Linked DNA regions of Oryctolagus cuniculus. The protein of the gene in region 7 purifies or fractionates together with the protein of the main gene of each other region. This does not show direct contact. Links are inferred from orthologs where the notes say so. Each region holds a gene or a part of one and is shown on either strand. Other genes may lie near its edges.

Evidence for each region.
Region 1: the proteins of MEPCE (region 7) and PRPF3 purify together in Homo sapiens (affinity purification with mass spectrometry; 4 studies listed by BioGRID and IntAct, counting the BioPlex papers as one, with this or other methods). This does not show direct contact. The link is inferred for Oryctolagus cuniculus from reciprocal best matches to the Homo sapiens genes MEPCE and PRPF3.
Region 2: the proteins of MEPCE (region 7) and METTL16 purify together in Homo sapiens (affinity purification with mass spectrometry; 3 studies listed by BioGRID). This does not show direct contact. The link is inferred for Oryctolagus cuniculus from reciprocal best matches to the Homo sapiens genes MEPCE and METTL16.
Region 3: the proteins of MEPCE (region 7) and SNRPN purify together in Homo sapiens (affinity purification with mass spectrometry; 3 studies listed by BioGRID and IntAct, counting the BioPlex papers as one, with this or other methods). This does not show direct contact. The link is inferred for Oryctolagus cuniculus from reciprocal best matches to the Homo sapiens genes MEPCE and SNRPN.
Region 4: the proteins of MEPCE (region 7) and SART3 purify together in Homo sapiens (affinity purification with mass spectrometry; 6 studies listed by BioGRID and IntAct, counting the BioPlex papers as one, with this or other methods). This does not show direct contact. The link is inferred for Oryctolagus cuniculus from reciprocal best matches to the Homo sapiens genes MEPCE and SART3.
Region 5: the proteins of MEPCE (region 7) and HNRNPUL2 purify together in Homo sapiens (affinity purification with mass spectrometry; 3 studies listed by BioGRID and IntAct, with this or other methods). This does not show direct contact. The link is inferred for Oryctolagus cuniculus from reciprocal best matches to the Homo sapiens genes MEPCE and HNRNPUL2.
Region 6: the proteins of MEPCE (region 7) and Y-box-binding protein 1 purify together in Homo sapiens (affinity purification with mass spectrometry; 3 studies listed by BioGRID and IntAct, with this or other methods). This does not show direct contact. The link is inferred for Oryctolagus cuniculus from reciprocal best matches to the Homo sapiens genes MEPCE and YBX1.

Annotation. Positions count from the first base shown.
Region 1 is NC_091438.1:47,654,645-47,658,840, forward strand, and holds the start of PRPF3 (U4/U6 small nuclear ribonucleoprotein Prp3), read right to left. Parts: upstream 2,801-4,196; 5' UTR 2,661-2,800; intron 1,125-2,660; exon of another isoform or gene 933-1,124; intron 1-932. UniProt on the Homo sapiens protein: Plays a role in pre-mRNA splicing as component of the U4/U6-U5 tri-snRNP complex that is involved in spliceosome assembly, and as component of the precatalytic spliceosome (spliceosome B complex).
Region 2 is NC_091448.1:47,902,149-47,905,446, forward strand, and holds part of METTL16 (RNA N6-adenosine-methyltransferase METTL16), read right to left. Parts: intron 1,152-3,298; coding exon 978-1,151; intron 849-977; coding exon 222-848; 3' UTR 1-221. UniProt on the Homo sapiens protein: RNA N6-methyltransferase that methylates adenosine residues at the N(6) position of a subset of RNAs and is involved in S-adenosyl-L-methionine homeostasis by regulating expression of MAT2A transcripts.
Region 3 is NC_091443.1:13,815,089-13,818,588, reverse strand, and holds part of SNRPN (small nuclear ribonucleoprotein-associated protein N), read right to left. Parts: intron 1,888-3,500; 5' UTR 1,743-1,887; coding exon 1,740-1,742; intron 794-1,739; coding exon 642-793; intron 1-641.
Region 4 is NC_091452.1:17,726,441-17,729,940, forward strand, and holds the end of SART3 (squamous cell carcinoma antigen recognized by T-cells 3), read right to left. Parts: intron 3,415-3,500; coding exon 3,262-3,414; intron 2,169-3,261; coding exon 1,978-2,168; intron 1,371-1,977; coding exon 1,193-1,370; 3' UTR 490-1,192; downstream 1-489. UniProt on the Homo sapiens protein: U6 snRNP-binding protein that functions as a recycling factor of the splicing machinery. Promotes the initial reassembly of U4 and U6 snRNPs following their ejection from the spliceosome during its maturation.
Region 5 is NC_091432.1:8,851,251-8,855,392, reverse strand, and holds the start of HNRNPUL2 (heterogeneous nuclear ribonucleoprotein U-like protein 2), read right to left. Parts: upstream 2,801-4,142; 5' UTR 2,577-2,800; coding exon 1,958-2,576; intron 1-1,957.
Region 6 is NC_091434.1:59,357,003-59,360,444, forward strand, and holds Y-box-binding protein 1, read right to left. Parts: upstream 2,052-3,442; 5' UTR 2,037-2,051; coding exon 1,023-2,036; 3' UTR 501-1,022; downstream 1-500. UniProt on the Homo sapiens protein: DNA- and RNA-binding protein involved in various processes, such as translational repression, RNA stabilization, mRNA splicing, DNA repair and transcription regulation.
Region 7 is NC_091450.1:42,641,154-42,645,239, forward strand, and holds the start of MEPCE (7SK snRNA methylphosphate capping enzyme), read left to right. Parts: upstream 1-1,286; 5' UTR 1,287-1,431; coding exon 1,432-3,075; intron 3,076-4,086. UniProt on the Homo sapiens protein: S-adenosyl-L-methionine-dependent methyltransferase that adds a methylphosphate cap at the 5'-end of 7SK snRNA (7SK RNA), leading to stabilize it.

The DNA.
Region 1 (4,196 bases), on a different chromosome or scaffold from region 7:
AACAAATACATTCCATTTGATTTTTAACCCTAACTCAGTAGTTATCAAAGGATCAATGAGGGCTGGTGTTGTGGTTAAGCCTCCACCTGTGACACTGGCATCCCATATAGTCGCTGGTTCGAGACCTGGCTGCTGCACTTCCAATCCCACTCCCTGCTAATGGGTCTGGGAAAGTAGCAGAGGATGGCCCAAGTGCTTGGGCCCCTTCACCAACATGGGAGACCCAGAAGAAGCTCCTGGCTCCTGGCTTCAGCCTGGCCCAGCCTGGCCCAGCCCCAGCCATTGTGGCCATTTGGGAAGTGAACCAGTGGATGGAAGATCTCTTTCTCTCTCTTTCTCCTTTTCTCTCTCTCTGCCTTTCAAATAAATAAAAAAAATGAATCTTAGAAAAAAAAAATCAATGAAACCTGTGGAAGAAACAAACTCTAAAAATTACTTCTAGCTTCCTTTTGAGCAAATCAATAAAGACTGGCATATAACATTAAAACAAGACTAGGGTAGGGGCAGGAGTTTGGTGTGGTGGCTTGGGACACCCATGTGTTCGTCAAGTCCCAGCTCTACTTCCAATCCCAGGGGATGATGGCTCAAGGATTTGGGTCCCTGTCATCCACATGAGACCTCAATTGAGTTTTAGGCTCCTGGCTTTGGCCTGGCCCAGCCCCAGCTACAGTGGGCATTTTGGAAATGAACTAGCAAATGGACGATCTCTGTCTCTATGGTTTTTTTTCTGCCTTTCAAATAAAAATAAATAAATGAATTTAAAACAAGACTAAAGGGCAGGTGTTTGCTGTAGTAGGTAAGACCCTGCTTGCAGGGCAGGTATTGTGTGCTACAGCAGGTTAAGTCACTGCTTGAGACATCTGCATCCTGTATCAGAGCACCAGTTTGAGTCCCAAATACTCCCCTTCCAATAACAGCCCTTTGCAACATGCCTGGAAAGCAGCAGATGATGGCTCAAGTGCTTGAGTTCTTGCCACCCACATGAGAGACCTGGATGAAGTTCTTGGCTCCTGGATTCAGTGGTGGCCCAGCCCCAGCCCCTGCTTTTGTGACATTTAGGGAGTGAACGAGTGGATTCAGAAGATCTTTCTGTCAGTCTGCCTTTCAAATAAATAAATGAATCTCTAAAGAAAGAAAGAAAAAGACAAGACCAGCTTGGAATGCCTGGGTTTGAGTCCTGGCTCCACTCTTCATTCCAGCTTCCTGATAACTGCACATTTTGGTAGGTTGCAGGTGATGGCTTGAGTACTTGGACCCCTACCATGCACTTGAGTCCATTCTCCAAATGCCCACAATAGTCAGGACTGGACCACACCAAAGCCAGGGGCCAGGAGCTCTATCCAAGGTGCCCACACGGGTCTCAAAGACCCAAGTACTTGAGCCATCATCTACTGCCTCCCAAGATACGCAACAGCAAGGTGGACTGGAAGCAGGGGCGAGACTCAAACACAGGCACTCCAGTATGGCACACACATGTCTCAAGCGGCAGCTTAAGCTACTGCAGGACAGCACAGTGCAAATTCTCCATTGCATTCTACAGGATCTCTGTGAGAAGTCGTGATGAAAGTACTCTCTCAGCTTGGGAAAAAAAAATGCCCTCACTTTAGATGTTCTCTTCTCAATCCCTTTTTACCTGTACCCTACTTTTTAATTCATCACAGAAAATAGTATTATAAAGGACTCTCCCACACAAATCTTTGTATTCAATGCAAGTTAGTATAAAATGTCACCATTAATCATGTCTATATTTTAATCTAATCCCTAACTCTCCAAATTCCTCAGGAGCACAAAGATTTTATTTCTAATGTTCTTCACAGTGCCTAACAGATGGTCAATAAATGGTACAGACCCCTACTCCCAAGCTAATCCCATCATTCACAAGCCCTTGGGCAAATTAATTCCCATAAGCCCCTGTTTACTCAAATACTAAGTGTCAAGCAATGTAGAAGGTGCTGATACAAACAGCAGAGAACAAAATACAATCACCCTGGCTGTAACAAGGGCCTACATTCCACGAAAACTCCATCACAGGCCAGAAAGAGTAAGCAATTTGAAAACCAAAGCAATAAACGGAAGAATCTTTATTTTCAGATGAAATGTGTGCCCAAGCGCTGTACTAACAAAAGTGTATTCAAGTTCAACCTAATTCCCTCTGAGATGTTAAAAAAAAAAAAAAAGTTTCCAACAGCAGCCTTTGCTACTGACCCAATGCTCCATAATAACGGCTGGTGGGAGTGGGGGCGGGGAGAGCTGGCGTGCAGAAAGGGAGGCAGGCAGAATGACTGCTCAATGAGCAGGCAGCAGAATCCAATCTTCTTAAAGGATTCCCTACTCTACGCTCTCCTTTGCTGCAACCCGAGTGCTCCCAGGAGCCCCCCTCCTCCTGTTTTTACTCTCGCTCTCTCTCTCACCGGCCTCCTCCCTCACCTTGTTCTGTCCAAACTCCTCACCCCAGAGCTGCTCTCCCCAGCCTGTCCCCGTCCCGCCCCCGCCCTTTTCCTCTCAACAATCTCATTCCAATCCGTTCTCTCCCGAACCGTGTGCTTCTCTCAGCATCCTTCCCGCTGGACCCTTCACCCTGTTCCTCCCCTCGGACTCAGCCCCGGCCCCAGCCGCTCCGACGGGAAGACACCCTCCCCGGGCCCGGGGCCACTACTCACCTCACAAACTTCAGCCCCTGAGACGGAGCCCGAACGTTACACCGGAACCGGAAACCTTCTGACCGCCCTACGGCCTGCCGTCGCTACCGCCACGGCCGCCGCCACGCTGCGGTCCCCTGACACGTGACCAGGGAGGGGGCGGGCCGTCGATTTGCGCAGCCGCAGTTGCCGCTCTGGCGACAGCGGAGCGCATGCGTGGCACAGCCCTAAGGTTTCCCCGTCCAAGTTGCTGCTGGCCTTCGGTTTCTACAGGGAAAAAAGATTACGAAGTTGGCGTAACTTTAGGTGGTTTTCAGTTTAAAAAAAAACGCAAACAAAACAATTTTTAGTTTTCTTCGTGTGGCGGATAAACGCTCTAAAGTTACAGGACTAAAAGGAGGACTTGTTTGTGCGTGCTGAAACGTGGCCTTTCTGGTAGAAAGTAAACCCTCTCGGAGTCCTGATCATCAGCTTTAGTCGCCCCCCAGCCTTTTCTAAGTTAACAGTGGGACCGGAGGTCATTCAGGAACAAGACAAGGGTAGGAAGACTCAAGCAAGTAGCTTCTAATACCTTTTTATTGTTAGATTCATTCATTGACGGAACAAATCTTTATCAACTGCCTACTAATGTGTGCTGGCCACTTGAGAGTATTGCTTTAGTGATTGTCGCGAATGCCTGCTGTCACGCAGCTCGACAGGGCTTAAGGGCGAGGTGTCGGAGCACAGGGAGGAAGGAACACATGGACACAAGATTGTCTTTCCAATGAAAGGTTTTTATTGCCCACACAATTTCACACTAGGGCTTGACCACTCTGCATACCAATCTACATTGTTATATTCAGTACTCCACAGATCATAACACACACCTAGCAGTCTCAAAGGCAATCCAACTATAATAATATAAGCACATAACATTATTCTTAATCACAGGGTCAAGGCACATGCCTTCATATTACACACGGCTAATATCATTATAAGTGCTGCGTCCTCAAGGGTCGTATCACGGTCACCAAAAGTCAAAGTCCAAAGTCCAGAGTTCAAAGTCTTCGTTACCACTCGGAGAGATGGATCTCAGGACAGTCAGTTACAGGCAGGAAGTTTGGGGATGGCTGTCACTCTGGGCAGTAGGTTCAGAGGGCAAGGCAAGGAGTTGGAGAGGTCCCCTGCTGAGAGGTCTGGTGTTGGTCTGGCAGCAGCCAATAACGGGTCCGGGTGAGGCGGCCAGGCAGCGGCTCCGCTGGAGTTTGGTCCCGTAATCGCCTTGCGTCACTTAGCAAGGGTGCTAGCAAGCTGGCTCTTCAGCTCCAGATGTGTGGAGATCCAGAGGTTCACACACATCGGGCCATGATCCTCGAGAGCGGTGGAAAAGGCTCTCCTTTATCCTTGCCACTCTGAAGGGGGAGTCTCCAGTAGGGGTCCGGGTGTCACCAATCAGTTGTGCTCCCTCTTGGAGTTTCCCGGGGTGCCACCCATCCGTTGTTTGGGACAGGGCGTATCTGGAGTATTCCTTGGGTGCGGTCACTCACAATGTGAGTAGGAAGGAAACTTGAGGTTATC
Region 2 (3,298 bases), on a different chromosome or scaffold from region 7:
CTGATAAGCAAGTTCTCCCTCCTGAACTTCCACAATACAGCTCTCTGGAACTTAAGAAAAAAAGGGGTGGGGGCCAGGGAATGGATTAATTGGCTTCTTCTCTTTAGGTGATGCCGCATGAGGCTACTAAGGGAGCCGGAGCTGGGTTTCCTCTCGCCAGCCCACAGAGCTCTCAGAGCAGGCTTCACAGACACCTCTCTACTTGGACCCGCAGTCTGCAGTTAACTGGCAACAAGCCTGAGAATCTGGTTCCGCAGGTAGGTGCACAGCTGGTTCATCAAATCCCTGTTCTGGCCCTCAACCCAATGCATTTCAACTAAGGCATCGCCCACTTCCTTCTTAACGTTGATGAGACACTTAAACAGGTACTGTGCAGCCGCTCCTGGCGGAGGCCTGCCTGTCTCAGCCCCAGGGCTGCTCAGCTGCTCAGGAGCCTCTGGGTCCTGGGCCCCGTGGCCAGAGCCCCTGCAGCTCTCCACAGCCTCCGGCCCTCCTTTCTCCTCACTCCGCTCTTCCTCCATGGGTTCTGGGTTTCCTTCCTGGGAAAGTGACTCCTGGCTTGCGCAATGGCCCCCAGCAGCAGCAGGCTGGCGTTCGTGCAGAGCAGGCCCACCTGGGGCACTCTCCCCAGGGCCCTGCACCCCGTCCTGGCTGCCGCCCCCAGACTCCCTGGGGGTGGACTTCTTCTCTTCCAAGGCCTGGATGACATCTTCAGGAGCTCGAGGAACTTCTCTCAGTTGTCTCACGCGCTCTCTTTTCTTCCTCCTTAAATGGATCCAGGAATTTTCTATGGCTGTTAGGAACAGGCTAACCTCCTCCTTCCCACAGGGAACTCGCTTATGCTGCACCTATTGAGGAAAAACACATTTCACAGGAATTCACTTTTCTCTTCTCCCCAGACTCCCTGAGAACAAAGCAGACAGAAAAGGAAAAAGGGAGACCAACACGAGGCCTTCGCTGGTGGCTTCACCAGGTACCTTGAGGTCGGTGAGGATTTTTTCAATCCAGGTCGTCACCACCACTATGCCTTCCACCGTCTCCGCCCCGAGGGACGAGGCTTTCAGGGACAGTTCCTTCATCACAGACTCCAGCACCACAAATGTAATGGGTTTCCGCGGCTTCTCTAGCTTCCTCCGCTTACTCGGTGGGGACTGAAAGACAAGGGAAGGCAATGAGGAGAAGAAATAGTCCCAGATAATTAAATCCTGTGCATCTCTGGCCTCAGAATCAGCCCTTAAGGCATTCAGATCTGGCTGAAGAGCCCATGAGAGTATTTTAGGCATGGAAAGCCAAGACACTCTGGCAAAAAAAAAAGAAGACCTAAATGAAGTTCTCTGCGAGTGAGATCCCAGTAGAAAGAAAACAGGGCTATCAAAGAAGGAGGTACTTTTCTCTGAAGGGAGGAGAGAACTTCCACTTTGACTATGACCCTGTTGGAATAAGATCGAAGTCAGCGAACTCAAAAGGCTTCCATAGCCTTGGAAACTCATGACTAGAGCCTAGGGAGATTACTGACGCCATAAACAAGAGTGTCAAATTGTTAAGTCAACAACAGGAGTCACTGTGTACTTACTTCTCATGTGGGATCTGTCCTTATTGTGTTGTCCAATGTGAAGTAATGCTATAACTAGTACTGAAACAGTATTTTACACTTTGTGTTTCTGTGTGGGTGCAAACTGATGAAATCTTTACTTAATATATACTAAATGGATCTTCTGTATATAAAGATAATTGAAAATGAATCTTGATGTGAATGGAATGGGAGAGGGAGCAGGAGATGGGAGGATTACGAGTGGGAGGGAAATTATTGGGGGGGAAGCCATTGTAATCCATAAACTGTACTTTGGAAATTTATATTTACTAAATAAAAAATAAATAATTAATTAATTAAAAAAAAAAAATCCTGTGCATGACAGTGGACTTGTCCAGGAAAGGGTCCATGGCTTCTGCTACCGATCATGGAGCCTCAAAGCCACAAAGGCCTGTCCGTGTGACACAAAGGCCTGTGCGTGTGACATAAAGCCGCCAGTGAATCACAGCAGGGAGGCCCAGGGCCACGCAAACTACGCCTCCAGCTGGAGAGGAAAGGCCAGCACTGGCGAGAAGAACGGATCTGAAAGCTGCTTCCATGAAAATCAAGATTCACATTTTCCTTTCTATTTCAAACTTCGAAGGTGAACAACACCCACTAGAGGGACTCAAGTTCCATTTTAGAAACCAAATCACACCAACTGTATTTAAAATTTATGTAAGTAAAAATTCCTAAATGGTACTTTTTAAAGGAAACAGCTCTTGGGTAAGACCACGTGTATTACAAACACTGTGCTAAGATGGATTTGTACTTGCTCACAAAACTTTTTTTTTAAAAGATTTATTTTATTTGAAAGACAGAGTTACAGTGAGAGAGAGAGAAGTCTCCCATCCACTGGTTCATTACCTAAATGGCCACAATGACCAGAGCAGGGCTTATCTGAAGCCAGGAGCCAGTAGTTTCTTCTGGGTCTCCCACATGGGTGCAGGGGCCCAAGGGCTTGGGCCATCCTCTGCTGCTTCTACAGGTACATTTGCAAGGAATGGGTTGGAAGTGGACAGCTGGGACTCAAAATGGCACCTATATGTGATGCTGGCGCTGCAGGCTGGGGCTTTAACCCACTGCGCCACCCCCTCACAAAACTTTTTTTTAAAAAAGGTTTATTTGGGGGCCAGCACTGTGGCGCAGCGGGTTAATGCCCTGGCCTGCAGCTTCGACATCCCATATGGGCGCCGGTTCAGGACTCGGTTGCTCCACTTCTGATCCAGCTCTCTGCTATTGCCTGGGAAGGCAGTGGAGAATGGCCCAAGTCCTTGGGCCCCTGCACCCACTTGGGAGACCTGGAGGAAGCTCGGGCTCCTGGCTTCAGATCAGCACAGCTCCGGCTATTGCAGCCAATTGGAGAGTGAGCCAGTGGATGGAAGACCTCTCTCTCTCTCTGCCTCTCCTTCTCTCTGTGTAACTCTGACTTTCAAATAAATAAATAAATCTTTAAAAAAAAAAAAAAAAGGTTTATTTGGGGCCAGCATGTGGCATAGTGGGTAAAGCTGCCACCTATGGCACTGGCATCCCTTATGGGTACCAGTTCAAGTCCCAGCTGCTCTGCTTCTAGTCCAGCTCCCTGCTCATGTGCCTGGGAAGGCAGCGGAAGATGGTCCAAGTGCTTGGGCCCCTGCACCCACATAGGAGACCCGGAAGAAGCTCCTGCCTCCTGGTTTCAGCCTTGCTCAGAACTGGCTGTTGCAGCTATCTGGGCAGTGACCAGCA
Region 3 (3,500 bases), on a different chromosome or scaffold from region 7:
AATACAGATGGAAATGCCATGGCTAAACTAGGTAAGACGGGCAAAATTAAAACATCAGTTACTATATTAAGAGGAGCAGAGGAGAGGGAGAGAGCAGAGAGCTTCTATCTTCTGGTGTACTCCTCAAATGCCAGCAATGATCCACCTAGGACCATAGCTGGGAGCTGGGGCCTTAATCCAGATCTCAAACATGGGTTGCAGGGACCCATTCATTTTATCCATTAGCACTCCCAAGGTCTACATTAGTAGGAAGCTGGAGTCAGGAACTGGGGAAAGGTATTACCTCAGGGTACTTGTCTTAACCACTAGGATGAACTCCCACCCCTACTATCCTTTATTTCAATCAATATTCCTTCAATCCAAAAGACTGTTACAGAAGCTAAACAATAACATATCACTCTGTTTTGACCTTACCGAACAATTTTATTACAAATAAATCAATGATTGTTTTCACATTTAAAACAGTTACTTGGATGCAAGGCTCTGACCTAATTCAGAGATAAGGCCAAGAGCTTAAGCAGACATGTACTGTAATTGCTTCGCTATTCAGTTATCCTTTAAAAACCCTGCATCAGCTCTCAACTTGGTTTGCCCCTGCCTCGGACTCCATCTCCCATTATATAAACCCAAACCACCCTTACTTTATCTTCCTGAACTCATCACAATCACAGAGGATCAAATTCATATGCTTGTCAAAAGCCTTAAAGGTGCCAATGAAGATTCGGCCATCTTGCAGGATACATCTCATTCTATAGTCAATGTGCTGTAGCATCTTGCTACTCTTGCCCACAGTCTAGAATTAAGAAGATAAAGTCAGTGATCAGCTTGCCCTTGTCCATTTTCTAACCTACATCCCTTTTCTAGTCTACCATAAATTTATCTTATCTTTTTCTCCTATATTCCTCCACATTTAATTTATTGGGCCAAATCTGAACTTGGAACCACTAAACTCCTCTAAAAAAGGTTCCCATCATAACTAAAACTTTCCCCAGAGATCCACGAGCCTCGTTTCTTTATAGAGCTGAAATTTTAATCTTACACCTTTACCTGTCTAATCTTAAATCCTATCTTGGAACACAGCACATTATCTTGTTGACAATTTCTTTTACCCTGGACAAATTCCTACTTCAATTAAAACTTGTCAAGTTCCTAAGGTACCATAACATGCAGACATGTTGTATCTCTATTTTTGCAATGTGACACTGGATGACCAAGCATTAAGAAGCTTATGACTGTTAACAAATCCTAGCAATTTTAACCCCTTTGGGAATGGTATCAATCATTTGATAATACATGCTCTAGACTGAGAACCACAGAACTCTGTGGTTAGGATGCTGGCTGGTTTATGCTCACTTGCTCCCTCCCTTTGCCAATTGTTCTCCTGTGTACTAATCAAGCCCTTCAAGTTTTGAAAAAGCTTTCCACATAAAGTAGTCTTTATGTCTACTATAATCTGACCTAAGAGTCAAGATAGTCCCCTAATAACAATGACCAAAAAACTGCTTCTGAATTTTCTCATGTTCTAAAACACCTCAAGATGGTTTTGAAACCAATTTGCAGTAATTAACAAGAAAAGAAACATTGCTAATCCCTGTTTTTTTTCAATGCATTTAGAATACATGTCTACATATTTATTCAAATTTTCAGAACCCAAAGGCACCCACACACAACTGCAAACTACTATTTGATGCCCTTATAACAACTTACCACCCCCCCATCTTAATACATAAACATCTTACCATGATTGCTGTTCCACCAAATTCAATGTCCAAAGTAAAATTTCAGGACCCTTAAGACCTAAGGGAAGGCTATAGATAAAGGTATGATGGCAGGTTCTCCTAGAAACAATGCAAGCTGGGCAGAAGCTTCACAAACAGTAGATGGAGCCTGCAGAGGAAAGCATGTTACAGCTGCACTACAATCTACCATGTTTTAAAATAGGCAGACAATTTTGCACAGATATCACTGCAAAACACATTCAAAAAATCCTTTATCCCATGACTCATTCACTACTCCTTCATCTTTAATTCCCACATTCGACATAGCTAGCACTGATGAAACTCACTAAATTATATTTTACCAGTAACTTTCATTTAAACATCTCAAAATTTTACTATTCTTCCTTTCTACCTTTAAGGTTATTGCTTTACTCCCACACCTAAAATTAATTAAGTATCTCACGTATTTATAACACAAATTATTCCTGAGTTAGTTCAAGATTTTGTTGTGGGGCCAGCACCCTGGCTCACTTGGTTAATCCTCTGCCTGAGGCGCCGCGCCAGCATCCCATATGGGCGCCGGGTTCTAGTCCCGGTTGCTCCTCTTCCAGTCCAGCTCTCTGCTGTGGCCCAGGAAGGCAGTGGAGGATGGCCCAAGTGTTTGGGCCTCTGCACCCCCATGGGAGACCAGGAGGAGGCACCTGTCTGCTGGCTTCAGACCCATACAGCGCCGGTTATGGTGGCCATTTGGGGAGTCAACTAACGGAAGGAAGACCTTGCTCTCTGTTTCTGTCTATAAATCTACCTGTCAAATAAATAAATTAAAAAAAAAGATTTTGTTGTTGATACTTTTTGTTTGAACAACCTAAATATTCAGCTGTAATATTCTTTCCTTCCCAAAGAGCACCTTCAAATGTAGTCTTCCCTCACCTAGAACCAAATGTATTATGAACGTGCTTAAGACTTTCTATGTCAAAGGCTGATACATAACTACTTAACAGAAGCTCATTGACAGCTTTCTTGTTTATCAAAGCGTCATGCATAACAAATTAACATTTTCACCATTACTTTTTGTAAAAAAAAAAAATGCTATCAATATGGCAATCAAATTTAGCCAGCATCTTATTCAGTGGCTGAAACTGCTGATGGTACAAAGAGACACAAATTATATTATTTTTGAGTAGGAATTTGGAGTTAAATATAAAAATAGAATCATATTAAAAGCTAAATTCCACTAGGATTGTTCTTCACTGTTTCCAATAGATAAAATTTTGAAACAGCACATTAAATGTTAGGTATATTCTGAGTACTTCATGGTTTGAAAATAATCATTAAAATCATGACTATAAACTACATGAACACCAAAACAATAAAGTAAAATAAGTTTTGAGCACATATGGAATTTTATGCCAACATATAAAAGAACATAAAAATACGTGATAACTCTTTCCATAAAGTTCTAAGATGTTTAAGGGATGTTTCCTATAGTTCTAGAAGCTTAATTGCAGTAAGACATTCCATGAGATCTTGAGAGTTCTTAGATCTTAAGATCCAAGAAATCCCTAACAATTTTTCAGTATACCCAACAACCTACATTTTCCACATACAAGCTTTCATGCATTCTTTTTAAAGTTTATGGTAAACAATCTGCTTATTCCCTCAATATACTGTCTATACTGCTCTGTAAGACGACTGATAACAGATTATACTATCTATGTACCTACTTATATCTACAGAAATGGCATCAAGAATACTCCAGTGCCCAAGATCCAATGTTTGTAC
Region 4 (3,500 bases), on a different chromosome or scaffold from region 7:
CCAAGTCAGTCCTACAGCAGAGAACCTGGCTCCCGGCTCCCTACTCCTGCCAGTGCAGACCCTGGGAGTTGGCAGGCGATGGCTCGACAGACAGACAGCTGGCCGCCCAGACCCACCTGAGAGACTGACTGCATTCCCAGCCCCAACCCAGCCCCAGCCACTATGGGCCTGTAGGGATTGAATCAGAAGAGGGGAGGGCACTCGCGCTCTGCCTGTCAAATAATAAAAATACTGTCGAAGAAGAAGCTCGGTGCCTCTAGAACGTCAGCTTCCTTACTGAACTGGCAAGGCTGCTTCCAAAGCCGTAAGTCCCTGATAAAAGTGAGAGAGTTTAAAAACTCAAGCATCAAACTGAAGTTTACAACTGAAGATCCATCACAGCAGAAATAATTTAAATCAAAATGACCACGAGATTTGACTTAGAAAAGTTCTATTTATAGCTACAGGCCGCCCTGAGGAAGGGTTCTGAGCACCACTCAGCAAGAAGAGTTTAAGAGAACTTCTGTTTAATAAACAAAGCTAAACGGGGAGGACATGGTGTTTCAACAAAACCAAAGAGCTGAAACTCAGGGTTTAGACAAGAAAAGCCAGTCGGCAGGCAGAGGAAGTGGCCCGCGGCAGGTGGCACACGGCCTCCGGTACAGGTATAAAACAAACATCTGGATACTGCTTTTAGGAAACGAAACCACAGGCTGAGGTGTCATTTACAAACACAATAGAAAAACACACAGCCCCCGAACAAAAACCCACTGGACTTCTCCTACGTGGCCTCCCCTGCTCCCACCCCTTCCTAAAATAGGCCGTTCTGGTGAGTTACTAGCATTTGCCAGTCCATCTTTTAAAAATTAAAAGAGTGATGGGCACGTATACCGTGCAGGTGTGAGAGAAGTGACTTAGAAAAAGGGCTGGGGCCGGCTGGGAGCGTCGGGACGAGCGGGTCTCCACGCTGCCCCAGACCCAGCTGCTCCTCACTCGGGAAGACACCCATGTGCCTCAGGATGCCACGCCCTGAGCTCACGTTCCTGCCGTCGCCCTCAATGTGAGGGAGCACTGACGCCGCTTCACGGGGAACACTCCCCTTCTGTCTGACCCAGAGGAAAGCCCGTGGCCGTGGGTGGGCACTGGGCCAGTCCCTTCTGTCCCCGGAGTACTGGCCGGCGAGAAGGCCTTTCCCGTCTCCCGCAGAGTCCGCTCACTTTCTCAGAAGCAGCTTGGCGAAATCGGCATTGGACATCTTGGGCGCCTCTGTGGCCTCAGGGGCGGCGTTGGCAGGACGTGGGGCAGGGCCGTTCTCAGCCTGAGGAGTCCCGGCACCAGGGCGCTGCAGGGCACGAGGCAGCAGAGAGAGCTGGGTCCTGCCCTTCCCCCGCCTGCAAAAGCAAACACTGACTGTACACTTCAAAGCACTGACCCGCAACCCCCACGGTACCGTGAAGAAGAGCCAGGATCCTGCACATCACGCAAAGTTCATGATGAAAAATGAAAACCCACCAGAGGCGGCCTGTCCCTGTACCTGGCTGTTACTTAAAAGCCACTGCAGGAAGCTCTGCCTTCTTCATTAACTGGCCAGGACTGACTCTGAGCAAGTCACACTCTGGGGTGAGAAGTGGCTGTCACCTCCGAGACCTCTCCAACCACCCTGCAGCCTGGCTCCTGTCGGGCAGAAGACACGGCCTCTCTAGGGAGCGCAGCCGCAGGCTGGCAAGCTCGGGCATCAGGGGGCGGGTGACGTCATCAGTGCCGGTGAAACATCTGACCTTGGACCAGTGTCACCTGGCAAACACGAGGCAGGGCCCCGCTGCCTGGGCCTCCTTCTGGCCTGGACTCGCCCTGGACACCTTGCCCGGCAGAACCACGGGGTCATCGCCGGGATAGCAGGCCCATGTGCTCTTGTCCTAACTCCTCTTACCAACAGGGACCTAACTGTTGCCTCATCTAGCCCTTCATGGCCGGGCGCTGGCCAGCACAAACACTCACGCTCCGTATATCTGCCGCGGCACCAGGGGGCCACCCGGCGCTTTCCTGGCCTCCGGCTTCTCTGGAGCCTTCCTCTGAGGGGGGTTGCTGATCGCCACTTTGATGACGTTCTCTCTGATGGTCATGCCGTCCATCTTCATCACAGCCTGCGACGCCTGGGATTCGTTTTCGTACTCCACGTAGGCCAGGCCCTGGAAGAGACATGATCAGAGCCAGGTGAGCTGCCGCACACCCAGGAGCAGCTTCCTCCTCACTCTGCAACGCAGGCACCTCATCAACTGGCTCCCCTCCCCACGGCTGCCACCCTGTCCACAGCTTGACTTCCCTCCCTACTCCTGTCCTCCGCTGCCGGGAGTGACTGCAGCGCAGAGGAGCCAAGTTCAGATCACCTTGAGCTTGCTCCCCAAGAGAAAAATGAAAGTAACAATCAGACCAGCATAAGTCCAGCCAACAGACTGAGGAGGTGGGCTGGGGACAGACACCGGGGAGCAGCCCTGGTGCCCAGGGGAGCGCCGAGGTCTCTGCTCCTCCATGCCCGCCTTCCCGTCACACTCCTCAACTAACTCTTCATTTACCTGCATGGCTGGGCCGCGGGCAAGGGAGTGAGAGGGGGTCCAGAATCACGTCTCAACAGTAACTGCTGAAAGGTGGAGCAGAAAGGAGTGGGCCGCAGGGGAGGATGTGCTAAGGGGTCCACTCGAGGCCCCGAGGTGGCCCAGTGAGGGCCTCAGGAAGAGCAGCGGTAACCACAGCAGAGGGACCCCCTCCCCGAGGCCTCTAGCCAGGGGGCCACACTGCGGCGCTTAGGAATCTGTGATGAATTTAATTTCTAAATGCCTATTCCTCTGTAATACACACAGCTGCAAACAGTTTCACCTGACTCCGCATGGGGCGGGCGTCATGGAACAGCAAGTTAAACCACTGCTCAGAACACACCGGCACCCTACACCTGAGTGCCAATTTCAACTCGGGCTACTCTGCTTCCTGCTACCTTGCCCGGGAGGCAGCAATGGCCCAAACACCTGGGTCCCTGCCACCCACATGAGAGACCCAGATGGACTTCCTGACTTCGGCCTGACCAGCCATTTGGGGAATGAACCAGTAGATGGAAATCTTTCTCATTCTCTCCTCCTCTCCCAACCCTACTCTGTCACTCTGCTTTCCAAATACACAAATTAATCTTGAAAAAAGTATCTGCCTCCACAGGGAAGGAGACTCAGTGTGCATTCCTTGCCACTGAATCATCACGGGGAACCCACGCCAGAACGTGCGCCCCCCGCTGACCTTGGGCTTGCCGGCCCGGTTGGTGACCAGCCGGAGGTCCTTCACGGTGCCGTGAGCCTTGCAGATGTCCTCCAGCTCCTCTTTCGTGCAGGAGAAAGGCAGGCCCGAGATGAACAGCTTGTGTTTCTCCAGAGCGGTGCTGTACCTGAACACCTGCCGGAGGAGGGAGAGAAAAAGACGTGCTGTTCCGGCCGCGCCTGGCACGCCAGCCCCACAGGGCCAGCCCTGGGCAGGGAGCT
Region 5 (4,142 bases), on a different chromosome or scaffold from region 7:
TTTTATACTGGAGTGTAGAACAAGCTCAGAACCAACAGAAACTAAAGGGAAACCTGAGTTTCTTTCTAATCAAAATAGCCACATTAGCCCCACTGCATCCACAGCACATTTTACTTCCCAAGATCACCTTCCTGTCACTGGCTAGGATTTTATTGGGGTGGGATGGGAGGGGGTAAGAGGATAGAACGGGCTAATTACAGTCAGCAGCAGATAAAAATTGGACAGTTTTTGCATTCTAAATTTACCTGATTAAATCAGGTCAAGCTTGCAGGAATGTTGTGGCATTAAAAAAAAAAAAAACCTTCATAGGTTAACTTAATTTCAATCTTTGTCAGATTGAAATTGTACAAAGATTTAAGGCAGGCCATTACAGCTTCAAGGTAAAGAAGCCACAATTTTTTCCTAAGTTTATCCTGCACTAAAATGCACAGCCTGTATATATGCATCAACACTGGATATGTATATCAAGTTATCTTACCATACCCCATAAATATACACAAACATTATGTGCCAAAGAAATGTAAAAGAGTACAGCCATCCATGCTTTACTTATACAGCCAAGGGACTCAAGTGCATGATACACAACTGATTTACAAAACCGCAACAAACCAGTTAAGTCACAAGAGACCCATAAATAACACTGCATCTTTACTGCACATAATTTGGGGCAGAAAGGTGTTGTCATATATTTAGTAACTGTTCACAAGAAAAAATCTTGGAGTTTTTCTTTAGGTTTTTATATTTTTGCAACACTAAGAAGGTTGTAAATAATAACTTCTTTAAAGCAGTCCTTTATCCCCAACGTTTTTTATATCTTTTATTTGAATTATACATTAAAGCAAAGGTTATATAATGGGATTTTTGTTCTAAGACATAGGACAAAAAAATACGCAAGTTGCCTATGACTATTGTAAAACACTTCCAATTATGTCACTTTAACTAATAGTGTCCCAAAACTTGTACTATAAAAAGAATGAAAGCAATCCAATTTATAGTAAGACTGGGAAGTAGCTGGAGATTTCCTCCCTACTCTGACAGGTATTGTTATGATCAACTCCAACCATCCAATCACTTCCAGAGAAAAGAGAAAGGTCACCAGCTCCCTGGGGCAGTTCCACACATTTTCTTCCACAAGGTTACCCAATGCATCCACCAGGATCTCAATCCTTTCAATTCAGGAAGTCAGGAGCCCAACATGTAGGCTCGTACGAGTATACAGCAAATCTACAAATATGCCCATCCACGGACTTAGTGGAAAGATTAAAATGTAATCCTGAGAATACAGGAGCAGTACAAGCCCAAACCAAGTTAACTTGTTTTAAATGCGCCAGATTAAAACTTTCTTCACTAGTTAACTATTAAACCCAACACTCGCACCAGAGGCTGCCCTCTTACTTCTGGAGCAGGACCAAGGCTAGATTTCCAGTTCTCCGGAAACCTACAAGCTTTAGTAATGGGTTTTGACAGAGCGGACTCTGACGGGTTCAGTTTATTGCTTCATGTTTTTATGCCGAAAAAGCCGTCAGGTAGCCCAATGACCTAAAGCTCTAACTTTCGGTGTGGCTGTGCAATTCCCAACTCCTCAGCACCCTCTCAGCTTCAAACGAAACACAAAACAAAGGGGAGGCGATGACTAGCAGGCGGGAGGGTGCTCCACAGGTAGCACGCGCGCAGTCAGCATGCGAAACCACTCACTTCCATCCACCACCTCCCAGGAACCAAGCCGGGCGGACAACCTCCCTCCCGCCAAGAACACGGCCACCAGAGGCGGCCGCGCTTCCCAGAAAGGCAGCAGAGGATGAAAGCCACCTGCCCCGGGGAGTCCCATCAAATACCGAACGGCAGCTTGCGCGACCAGGCAAGTGGAAACAAGGGATCAAACCCCGCGGCGCAGCACGGGTGCCGGATCGGGGCGCCCCCGGCAGCCTGGAGCCCGGCTCCGCCGCCAGCTCCTCACCCTGTTCTTCTGCGGCCTTGTCACCCGGCGCCTCGGATCCCGGCGTCTCGTCTCCGCTCCGCTCCTCGGGCTCGTCTTCCTCCCCTTTGCCGGCGCCCGGCTCTTCGCCACCGTTTACCCCACCTGACCCGGCCGTGGCCTCCGCGGGCTTTTCGGGAGCATCGGGCTCGGCCTCGGCCTCGGCTTCGGGCTGGGCCTCGGGCTCGGGCTGGGCCGCGGGCTCGGGCTCAGCCCCGGCCCCGGCCTCGGCCTCCATGGCTGCCGCCTCCGGAGGCTCTGGCGGCGGCTGCGCGGCCTGGCCCGCGGCCTGAGCAGGGGGTGGCTCCTCGTCCTCGTCCTCAAGCAGCGCCTCCTCGTCCTCGTCCTCCTCCTCCTCCTCCTCCTCGTCCTCCTCCTCGTCCCCGCCCGGGCCGCCGCCCGACGCGGCCACAGGCCGAGGCTCCGCCTTGCAGGCCCCGCCGGGCCCGGCCCCGCCGCCGCCGGCCTCGTCCTCGAGCATCTCGGCGTCCAGCGCCTCCTGCAGCCGCTGCGCCAGATCCACCTTGAGGCCGCGCGAGTCCAGGCCCCGCCGCTGCAGCTCCGACCGCAGCTCGGTCACTTTCAGCCGCTTCACCTCCATCGCCGCCGCCGCCTCCTCCGCCTCCCGCCGCCTCCTCCCCTGCGAACCGTCGACCGAGCCCGACCGCGCAGGCGCCGCCGCCGCCGCCCGCCTCCGCCTCACGCGCCAGCCCTGAGCCCGCGCGAGCGCACGCACGCACGCAGACAGCGCAGGCCGCGCGCGGTCCCCGCTGCGTAGTTGGTGTCGCCTTCCTCCTCCCCTCCCCCGCCTCGCCTCCCACGAGCCCAAAACAACGCAACGGGGAGCGGCCTGCCTCCCAGCCCCTAGTCCCCTACCGCCGGCGGGCGCGCGCGCCGAGGACGACGGAGTCCCGCCCCTTCCGCCCGCCCCCTCTTACCGCTGGGCCAATCGCCGCCGGAGGTTTTACCGCGCAGCCGCAGCGGAGCCGGAGACGGGCAGGGCTGGCGGCGGCTCAAGTGCCCTCGTAGCACGGAAGCGTGTGCGCGCCTGCCTTTCCGTACTTCCAGCGGGGGTCCTGCGCAGCCGCCCGCCCGCCCGCCCTCTCACCACCCAGCTTCGCGTCTCACTATTGCTGCGGCCCTTTAGGGCTTGCTCACCACCCCGTTCCCCTGCGGGGCCTGCAGCAGCTAAGCCAGGAGAGAAACTGTTGCAACAGGAAAACCTACTCGCAATTGTTTCTCTAGCGAGTCCGCGAGAGGACCCTCCAGGACCGAGAAATAACCGTAGCCCTCGGCCCTCCTAGTAGCTCAACGCCTCGATTTCTACCCAGCAACAGGAGGCCTAGCTTCGCCTTCCGCTCCCTCTCATTGGCCTGCTTGAATCGGCTCCTGCCGTTATGATTGGTCACCTGTGACCGTGCGGAATTTTCCAATTGGCGAACGCTGTTGGGGGGATTTTTTTTTTTCCGCGTCGAACTGCTGGGGAGGCGGAGTCGTTTCTGCGGGATTACTTTTCCGGAGCCGCTTCTGATTGGACGCTTTGGCGGATTGCGCGCGACCCTTTAGACACCAAACGGCCGGGAGCTCTGACCCTTTCCTTTCCGTGCTCCCAGCTGGAAAGCGGAAGCTGGGGGAGGGACTTCCGGCCTCGGGCGTCTGCAAAGGCCGGGGTGTCGGCGGCCTAGGTCGGTGGGCTTGCGTGGAGTGCGCTGCTACGGACCCCCTCCGTGCGGGCTGAGTGCTGGGGCTCTCGGACCTCGCGGCTCGCAGCACAATTACCAACCAAAGCTTGTTAAATGAGGACAAATAAAGCGGGCGTGCGTGCGTGCGGGCCAGCCCCGCGGATTTCTTGTAGCAGTTGTCCCCGCCTACTCCCTTGTACTTCCAGGTCGCGGGGGAGGGAGTGCGTCCGACAGAGGGGCGGCGGCGGAGGCTGGGCGCTCGCACGCCTGCCACGGTCCCTTAGTAGGGCCTTCCCCCCGACCCCGGGGTCTCCTCACCCCGCAGTAACCGCCTAGGCTTCGGCCGTGGCCGTCCCCACGTCCTCCCCCTGACCACCTGCTTGAACGGTTGGAGACTGAAAACTGCTGCAGGGAGCACAGGTGGAGGCTGTACAGAAACACGCCAAGCCCCCCTCCCCGGGGAAGCCCACCCGGGCCAGTCAGGC
Region 6 (3,442 bases), on a different chromosome or scaffold from region 7:
AACACAGAGATAAATGTTCTTAGGGAGTAGTGTCACACTCCATGGCTGCAATTTCATAAATCTAGGTTGATCCTGACTCACTAGTGGACCTCAGAACTCTACAAAAACCGGGTCACTGTGAGCTTGATTCTAGGTTCAAGGTCTCTGCGAGGGATCTTTATTCCTTCTTCAAAATCCTACAAAAGCTCTACACAAGTCCTTTTAATAACTGCAGCAGAAAAATATAGCCCAACTGACATATTAGCAAGCATAACTTAGAGGAAAAGTTACTCTTTAATCCCTAATAATTATGATACACTTACTATTCACAATTCTTACACATGACATCACAATGAAATATGTATTATCATCATTCCAACTTTACAAATGGGGAATCTGAAACAAGGACACAAACATCACACTACCAAGAGTGGGAGGAAGGGTTCAAACTCATACCCTCAACTACCACCCTGTGCTTCTGTACAAAGGATCTTCAAAAAGTTCATGGATAATGTGTATTATTTTTTTTTTATTTAAGACCTTTATTAGCAGGTGCTTGCAGTTTGTTGACTTTTTTGAAAAAATCAAGTTGTAAACTTTTATTACAAATTAAAAATGAAGTTCTTAAAAATCTCAACTTGACCAGATATGAAACAATTTAAAAACCTTTAAAGGTGTATTGAGAAAAACCAGGCTTTTTTAAAAAACACGTTTGTCGTTACCAAAAAGAGACATCTTTAGGTAAAAATAATAAAAACCCCATGCTGCATAGATAATGCAGATAGTTCTAGTAATCTGGTCAATGGGCAAAAAGCAAGCACTTAAGGTCTTCAGCTCCAATCTTTTGTTCATTTCTTATTGCTGGAATTTCATATTCATTTCTTCTTGTTGGATGACTAAACCGGATGATGGTAGAGATGTTAAGCCGGCATTTACTCAGCCCCGCCCTGCTCAGCCTCGGGAGCGGACGAATTCTCAGCTGGTGGATCGGCTGCTTTTGTCTCTTTGCCATCTTGTGGTTTAGGGTTATCTGGGCGTCTGCGTCAGTAGTTGAAGTTGCGGCGGTACCAACGCTGAGGTGGCTGCTGACCCTGGGTCTCATCTCCTTGGTTTTCCTTGTCTTCTTCATTGCCGTCCTCTCTAGGCTGTCTTTGGCGAGGAGGACCTCTGCGGAATCGTGGTCTATAACCCCGATACATATTCTGTCTCACTGGTCTACCTTGTTCTCCTGCACCCTGGTTGTCAGCACCTTCCATCACTTCTCCCTGCACAGGAGGGTTGGAATACTGTGGTCGACGCCCATAGGGTCTCCGCATGTAGTAAGGTGGGAACCTTCGCCTGCGGTAGGGCCGGCGTTGTTGGGCCTGGCCTTCGGGAGCGCTCTCCGATCCCTCATTCTTTTCCCCACTCTCACTATTCTGGTAATTCTGCTGGTAATTGCGTGGAGGACCCCTACGACATGGGTAGCGTCTATAATGGTTACGGTCTGCTGCATATTTACTGCCTTGCACTGGAACTCCACCAGGACCTGTAACATTTGCTGCCTCCGCACCCTTTTCTCCTTCAACAACATCAAACTCCACAGTCTCTCCATCTCCTACACTGCGAAGGTACTTCCTGGGGTTATTCTTCTTTATGGCAGTCTGGTGTACAAATACATCTTCCTTGGTGTCATTCCTGTTGATGAAACCATATCCGTTTCTTACATTGAACCATTTTACTGTTCCCAAAACCTTCGTTGCGATGACCTTCTTGTCCCCGCCGGCGGGCGCCGCCAATGTGAGGCTGCCCAGGCCACCGCTCCCTGCGCCGCTGCCCGTGGTGCCGGGCTTGGTTTCCACGGCGCTGAGGGCGGGGGCGGCGGGCGGCTGCTGGGTCTCGGCCTCGCTGCTCATAGTTGCGGTGATGGTGACTGGGGCCGGCTGCGGCAGCTGAGGCTCCTCCCGGGGTGTGATGGTAACTAGGCCGGCGGTGGCGGTGGGGCTGCTCAGGGCTCTCTGGGGTCCGCTCTCCGCTCCCGCTACCGATCGAACTATGTGTATTATTTTTAAAAACATGCATTTCAAACATGTTTGTACCCAGATACTTCTCTTTAAATTCCACTTTCCATGAACTTTGAGGTTGCCTCATACAATGATTTATCTTTAGTGCTCTTCCATTTTAAGTATCAAAATATCAGCATTATTAATAATCCTACACAACATTAATTCTATTTCTAAATAATCTACTACTGTTTCAGCCTACTGTCGCTCCCCCTCTTCATGGAGGAACGACACTAAACCCTGCCTAGGCTTCATATCCGAGTCACGGCACCATTATGTCGCTCCCCGTCTTCGTGGAGGAACGACACTAGACCCTGCGCTGTTCTTTTGTCTGCTCGGCCCTCCCCGGGTTTGCTGCTGGTTCTTCCCAGGTTGGCTACCGTCCCTCCCACCTCCGTGGAAGGGCGGTTCCCCCTGCCACTTTCCCCACTTCCGCGGGGGAGCAGCACACCGCCAGCCGGCTCTCTCGGGGGCTGCACAGGTGTTCCTCTTAGATGTTCCTGGTGCATGTTGTCTCTCTCCTCCTTTATAGTCCTCTTCCACCAATCCCAACTCTGCTACCCACACGCCGAGTATGCTGCTCTCCTCCAATCAGGAGCAGGTCCTGCTGTTTATTGGTTGAACTGGAGGCAGCTGAGTAGAAGCTGTTTACTCCTCTCCCAGCGCCATATTGTGGGAGAGCAGATGCATAGAATAAGTCTTAATTCCAGTAACAGTCTAGTCTGAGTTGCTCCCCACAGATCCCCCTTTCTTTTTATTTTTTGGCGTTGATACGCGCCTGTCTTCGGTGCCCCGTGGCACACACTCTGCTCTGCTTGCTGGAGTTGCCCACAGGTTCTTACAAGTCCTATCAATCAGGCAAACCGAATCCGGGTCCTCTCTTCGCCATGTTGTGAGGTTTTTAGGCGCTGATGCGTGCCTGTGTTCGGTGCCCTGCAGCGCATGCTCTGCTCTGCTAGAACTGCCTGCAGGTGCTTACAAGCCCTACCAATCAGGCAAACCGAATCCAAGCCCTATCATCGCCGTCTTGTGGGGAGACTTATTGGTGTTGATAACGTGCCTGTCTTCGGTGACATGCAGCCGCTCACAGGTGCTTATCGTCTTACTAATCAGGCAGACCGAATCCAAGCTCTCTCATTGCCGTGTTGTGGGGAGGCCTTTCTATTTCTCTATCTCCAGGCATTCCTATTTCTCCTATTTTACTTCTATCTGCCAGCATTCCTATTTCTCTCATTTTACTTCTATACTTCTATTTCTCTTATCCCTGCGGCATCCCGGCGCCCGCCCCGAGGCTGCTTCTTGGCACCTTGCCCCGCAGCGGCTTCCCGGCTCTGTGCCACTTCCCGGCTTCGCGCATGCTCCGCGGTCTCCGCTCCCCTTCACACCCGTACCACAGCCTTGCGCTAGCCCCACGTTCCCTA
Region 7 (4,086 bases):
CTTTCTTTTCTCCCTGTTGGCAAGGAGACCGAGCTACCCATCACCCTGGGGAAACGGCTCCATTCCTCATTGGCCGAAGCTGGAAGTCCAAAGAGGGGCCGAATCGTCTTCCCCGCCCACACCCGCTTTTATATAAGGCGGCGCGAAGCCTCGGAGTGCGTCCGGGAAGGCCTGCTTGCGAGCTGGCGGCGGCCACGGCGGCTGCGAGGGGCCCCGCGGGCCCGCGGTCTCGCGCGCAGCCGCCGTGTGGCGGGCGGAGGACTTGGTGTCAGGGCCGTGGGTGTGGAGGCGGACAGGAAGGCGTGGTGTGCCCAGGTGATCGCGATTGGGGCAAACGCCGAGGAGCCAAAGAACGACTCAGCCATTTCAGGGGAAGAGGAAGTTGAACAACACCGGCTCTCCTTAGTGCCTTTTTTTGTTTTTTTCCAGTTCAGCAGAGCGTTATTTTCGAGGGGGGTGAGTTCACATGACCTATCGAATTGTACTGAGGACGGTCAGGGCGCCTCCCATTCTCCCCTTCCGCGACTCCTCAATTCACCCCCTCAGCGCGCTCAGCTCTTAACCAGGTGGGCAAAGCGGGGCCCAGGAGCGCGCGCGCGCACTCGTGAATAATTCATGAGGCCCGCCCCCGAGCCCGAGTCGCGCTGACGCACGCTGCGTGCGCCGACCCTGAGGGAGCGACGTACAGGCCCCGCCCCTAGGCCGGGGGTGGGGCGTCGGCCCAGCACGTGCTACCTCGACCCGCGCAAGCCCAAAAGCGTGTGCGCAGGCGCTGCCCGCTAGGGGGAGGAAGGAGGCGGGGTAGGGAGGTTGTTGGGTTTAGAGCCGGGCGGAGACCGCTGAGACTCATTCCTCAGGAACAAGGGTCGGGTGTCAAGGAGACCTTTTCACACCAGCTCCCCGTCCCCCGCCTTCGGTGGGTGGGGTCGCGCGGCAGAGACAAAGGATATCAGTAGGGAAGTAGGGTGTCAGTTTGGGGTGGTGGGCTTCTGGGGGAGGGCCGAGGAGGGGGGGCTATATTTAAACTCGGGGAGCCGTTAAGTTGGGTTCGTACTCCGATGCGCGCGCAGCCAGGGTGGTGGCGGAGTGCGCATGCGTGGCCCCGGGGCTAGGGGAACGCGCGCTCGCCGTGCGCGCTCGCGGCCGAGCGGTAGTGGTGGCGGAGAAAGGGGTCGGCGCACGCGCGGTTGATTCCTCGAGTTGTTCGGGTCTCGCGGGCATCTTGTTTTGGTCTCGCGGGCGAGTGGGGCGCGCTTCAGGGTGGGGGGGAGGAGGCGCTTGGGCGCGAGACCCAGCGAGGCGAGCAGAGCTGCGCGCGCACCCGGGGAAACGGGAGGGGGAAGGGAGCGGGGTCTAGCCAGGCGGGGGCGGGGGGCTAAGCCCCCGATCCCCACCTCGTTACCCTCGAGTGGGACGGAGTAAGGGGAGGAAATGATCGAGATGGCGGCGGAGAAGGAGCCGTTTCTGGTGCCGGCCCCGCCGCCGCCGCTCAAAGAGGAGTCGGGCGGAGGGGGCGGCCCCACGGTGCCACCACCCCGAGAGGCCGCCTCCGGGGAGCCCCGCGGCGAGCCGGAGCGCGGCCCGGGCCGGAGCGCGCGCTCCGCGGACGCCCCTGCCTCGGCAGCCGGCAGCGGGAGCCCCGGCGCCGCCGCCACCCCTCAGGGCGGCCCCCGGGCGCAGCCGCACGGGGAGGCCCGCGTGTCGGATCCCCACGGGCGAGCCGCTCCCCCGGATGTGGGGGAGGAGCGCCGGGGAGGGGGCGGGACGGAGCTGGGCCCCCCTGCCCCTCCTCGGCCGCGTAATGGCTACCAGCCCCACCGGCCCCCTGGGGGCGGCGGGGGCAAGAGGAGAAACAGCTGCCACGTCGGGGGCGGCGGTGGGGGCTTCAAGCACCCGGCGTTCAAGAGGCGCCGGCGGGTAAATTCGGACTGTGACTCCGTGTTGCCCTCCAACTTCCTCCTCGGGGGCAACATCTTCGATCCGCTGAACCTCAATAGCCTTTTGGATGAGGAAGTGAGCCGCGCACTCAATGCGGAGACCCCTAAGTCATCCCCACTGCCCGCCAAGGGCCGAGATCCAGTGGAGATCCTCATCCCCAAAGATATCACTGACCCGCTCAGTCTCAACACTTGCACTGATGAGGCTCAAGTAGTTCTTGCTTCGCCGCTCAAGACTGGTCGGAAACGGCACAGACACCGGGGACAGCACCACCAGCAGCAGCAGCAGCAGGCGGCGGCGGGTGGAGGGAGTGACAGCCACTCCGTGCCGCCCACCGCCCCCCTCACCCCCTCACTCCACGGGGAGGGCGCCGCGCAGCAGCAGCGCCCGAGGGGCCAGAACCGGGATGCCCCCCAGCCCTATGAACTCAACACAGCCATCAACTGCAGGGATGAGGTCGTGTCTCCCCTTCCGTCCGCCCTGCAGGGCCCCTCAGGCTCCCTTCCGGCCCCTCCCGCTGCCTCAGTTACCTCTGCACCCTCGTCTTCCTCCTCCCGGCATCGCAAACGGCGCAGGACTTCCAGCAAGTCTGAGGCCGGGGCTAGGGGTGGAGGCCAGGGTCCTAAGGAGAGGGGCCGCGGGAGCTGGGGAGGCCGCCACCACCCGCCACCTGCGGCAGCGTTTAAAAAGCAGCAGCGCAAGTTCCAGTATGGGAATTATTGCGAGTACTATGGGTACCGCAATCCTTCCTGTGAGGACGGCCGCCTTCGTGTGTTGAAGCCCGAGTGGTTTCGCGGCCGGGACGTCCTAGACCTGGGCTGCAACGTGGGCCATCTGACCCTGAGCATTGCCTGCAAGTGGGGCCCCTCGCGCATGGTGGGCCTGGATATCGACTCCCAGCTCATCCACTCTGCCCGCCAGAACATCCGACACTACCTGTCCGAGGAGCTGCGGCTCCCAACCCAGACTTCGGAGGGAGACCCCGGGGCAGAGGGGAAGGAAGGGACTACCACCGTCCGGAAGAGGGGCTACTTCCCAGCCTCGCTGACAGCCAGCCGGGGTCCCATCGCTGCACCCCAAGTGCCCTTGGATGGAGCGGATTCATCCGTCTTCCCCAACAATGTTGTCTTCGTCACGGTAAGAGGATCTGAGCGACTCTTGGAGTAGAGGCCACGTATGAAGATGAGCTTAAATGTGGCAGGGGCAGGTTTTGACCCTCCCCCCGTGAGATTTCCGCGCATTCAGTCCTTGATAGGAGAAGCAGATTCTCTAGGGTCTGTACTCTCCCTTGGGTGTGTCTCCCGCAAGGAGCAGTTGGGGCCTCTACCTTGGGTCTTTAACCCCGGGGTCCTTTCTCAAGACTGGAAGATCTCTTGCCTGAGAGAGATTGACGGAGTGCTGTGTGCCTGGCCTGGTCTGGGCTAATCCAGACTAGTCCACCTTCCCTTGAGGGCCACTGCTGATCCTTAGGAGACTCTGTTAAGATGGAACCTCAGCCCTGCTGAAGCAGTGTGAGGGGTGGGTGTCGGACGTGGAGTGCCTTGGGGGGAGATGAGGTCAGTAGCAGGCTAATATTTATAGTTTCTGTCTTTCACTTGGGACCTTGTTTGCAACTGCTGCCTTTTTTTTTTCCCCAAGATTTATTTATTTATTTGAAAGGCAGAGAGAAAGATCTTCCATTCGCTGGTCCCTCTGCCCTCCCCCCCCCCCCAGGGGCTGCAACGGCTGGGGCTTTGTCAGGCCAAAGCCAGGAGCTTCATTTGGGTGTAGGTAGCAGGGGCCCAAGCACGGGAGCCATATTCAGCTGCTTTCCCAGGTGCACTAGCAGGGAGGTGGATTGGAAGTGGAGCAGCTGGGACTCCAACCAGCGAATGGAATGCCAGCACCGCAGGAGGTGGCTTAACTGCCACAACAGCTGTTTTTTGTTTCTCCAGGTAGAGTTGGTTAAAGATTGTCAGTGGTCAGGATCCCAAGCAACTTGGCTTTTACCTCTTCTCCATGTTGACCCTAGATAGAGGGAGAGCATAGTCCTACACGGGACTGGACCATGCCTGGCGAGTGTTGCTCCCCATCAAAAACTTTAGGCCATCTGCAGGAATACTTGGCAGTAGGTTGAGTTAAGCCTGAAGAATGGGCTTTGCAGAGGGC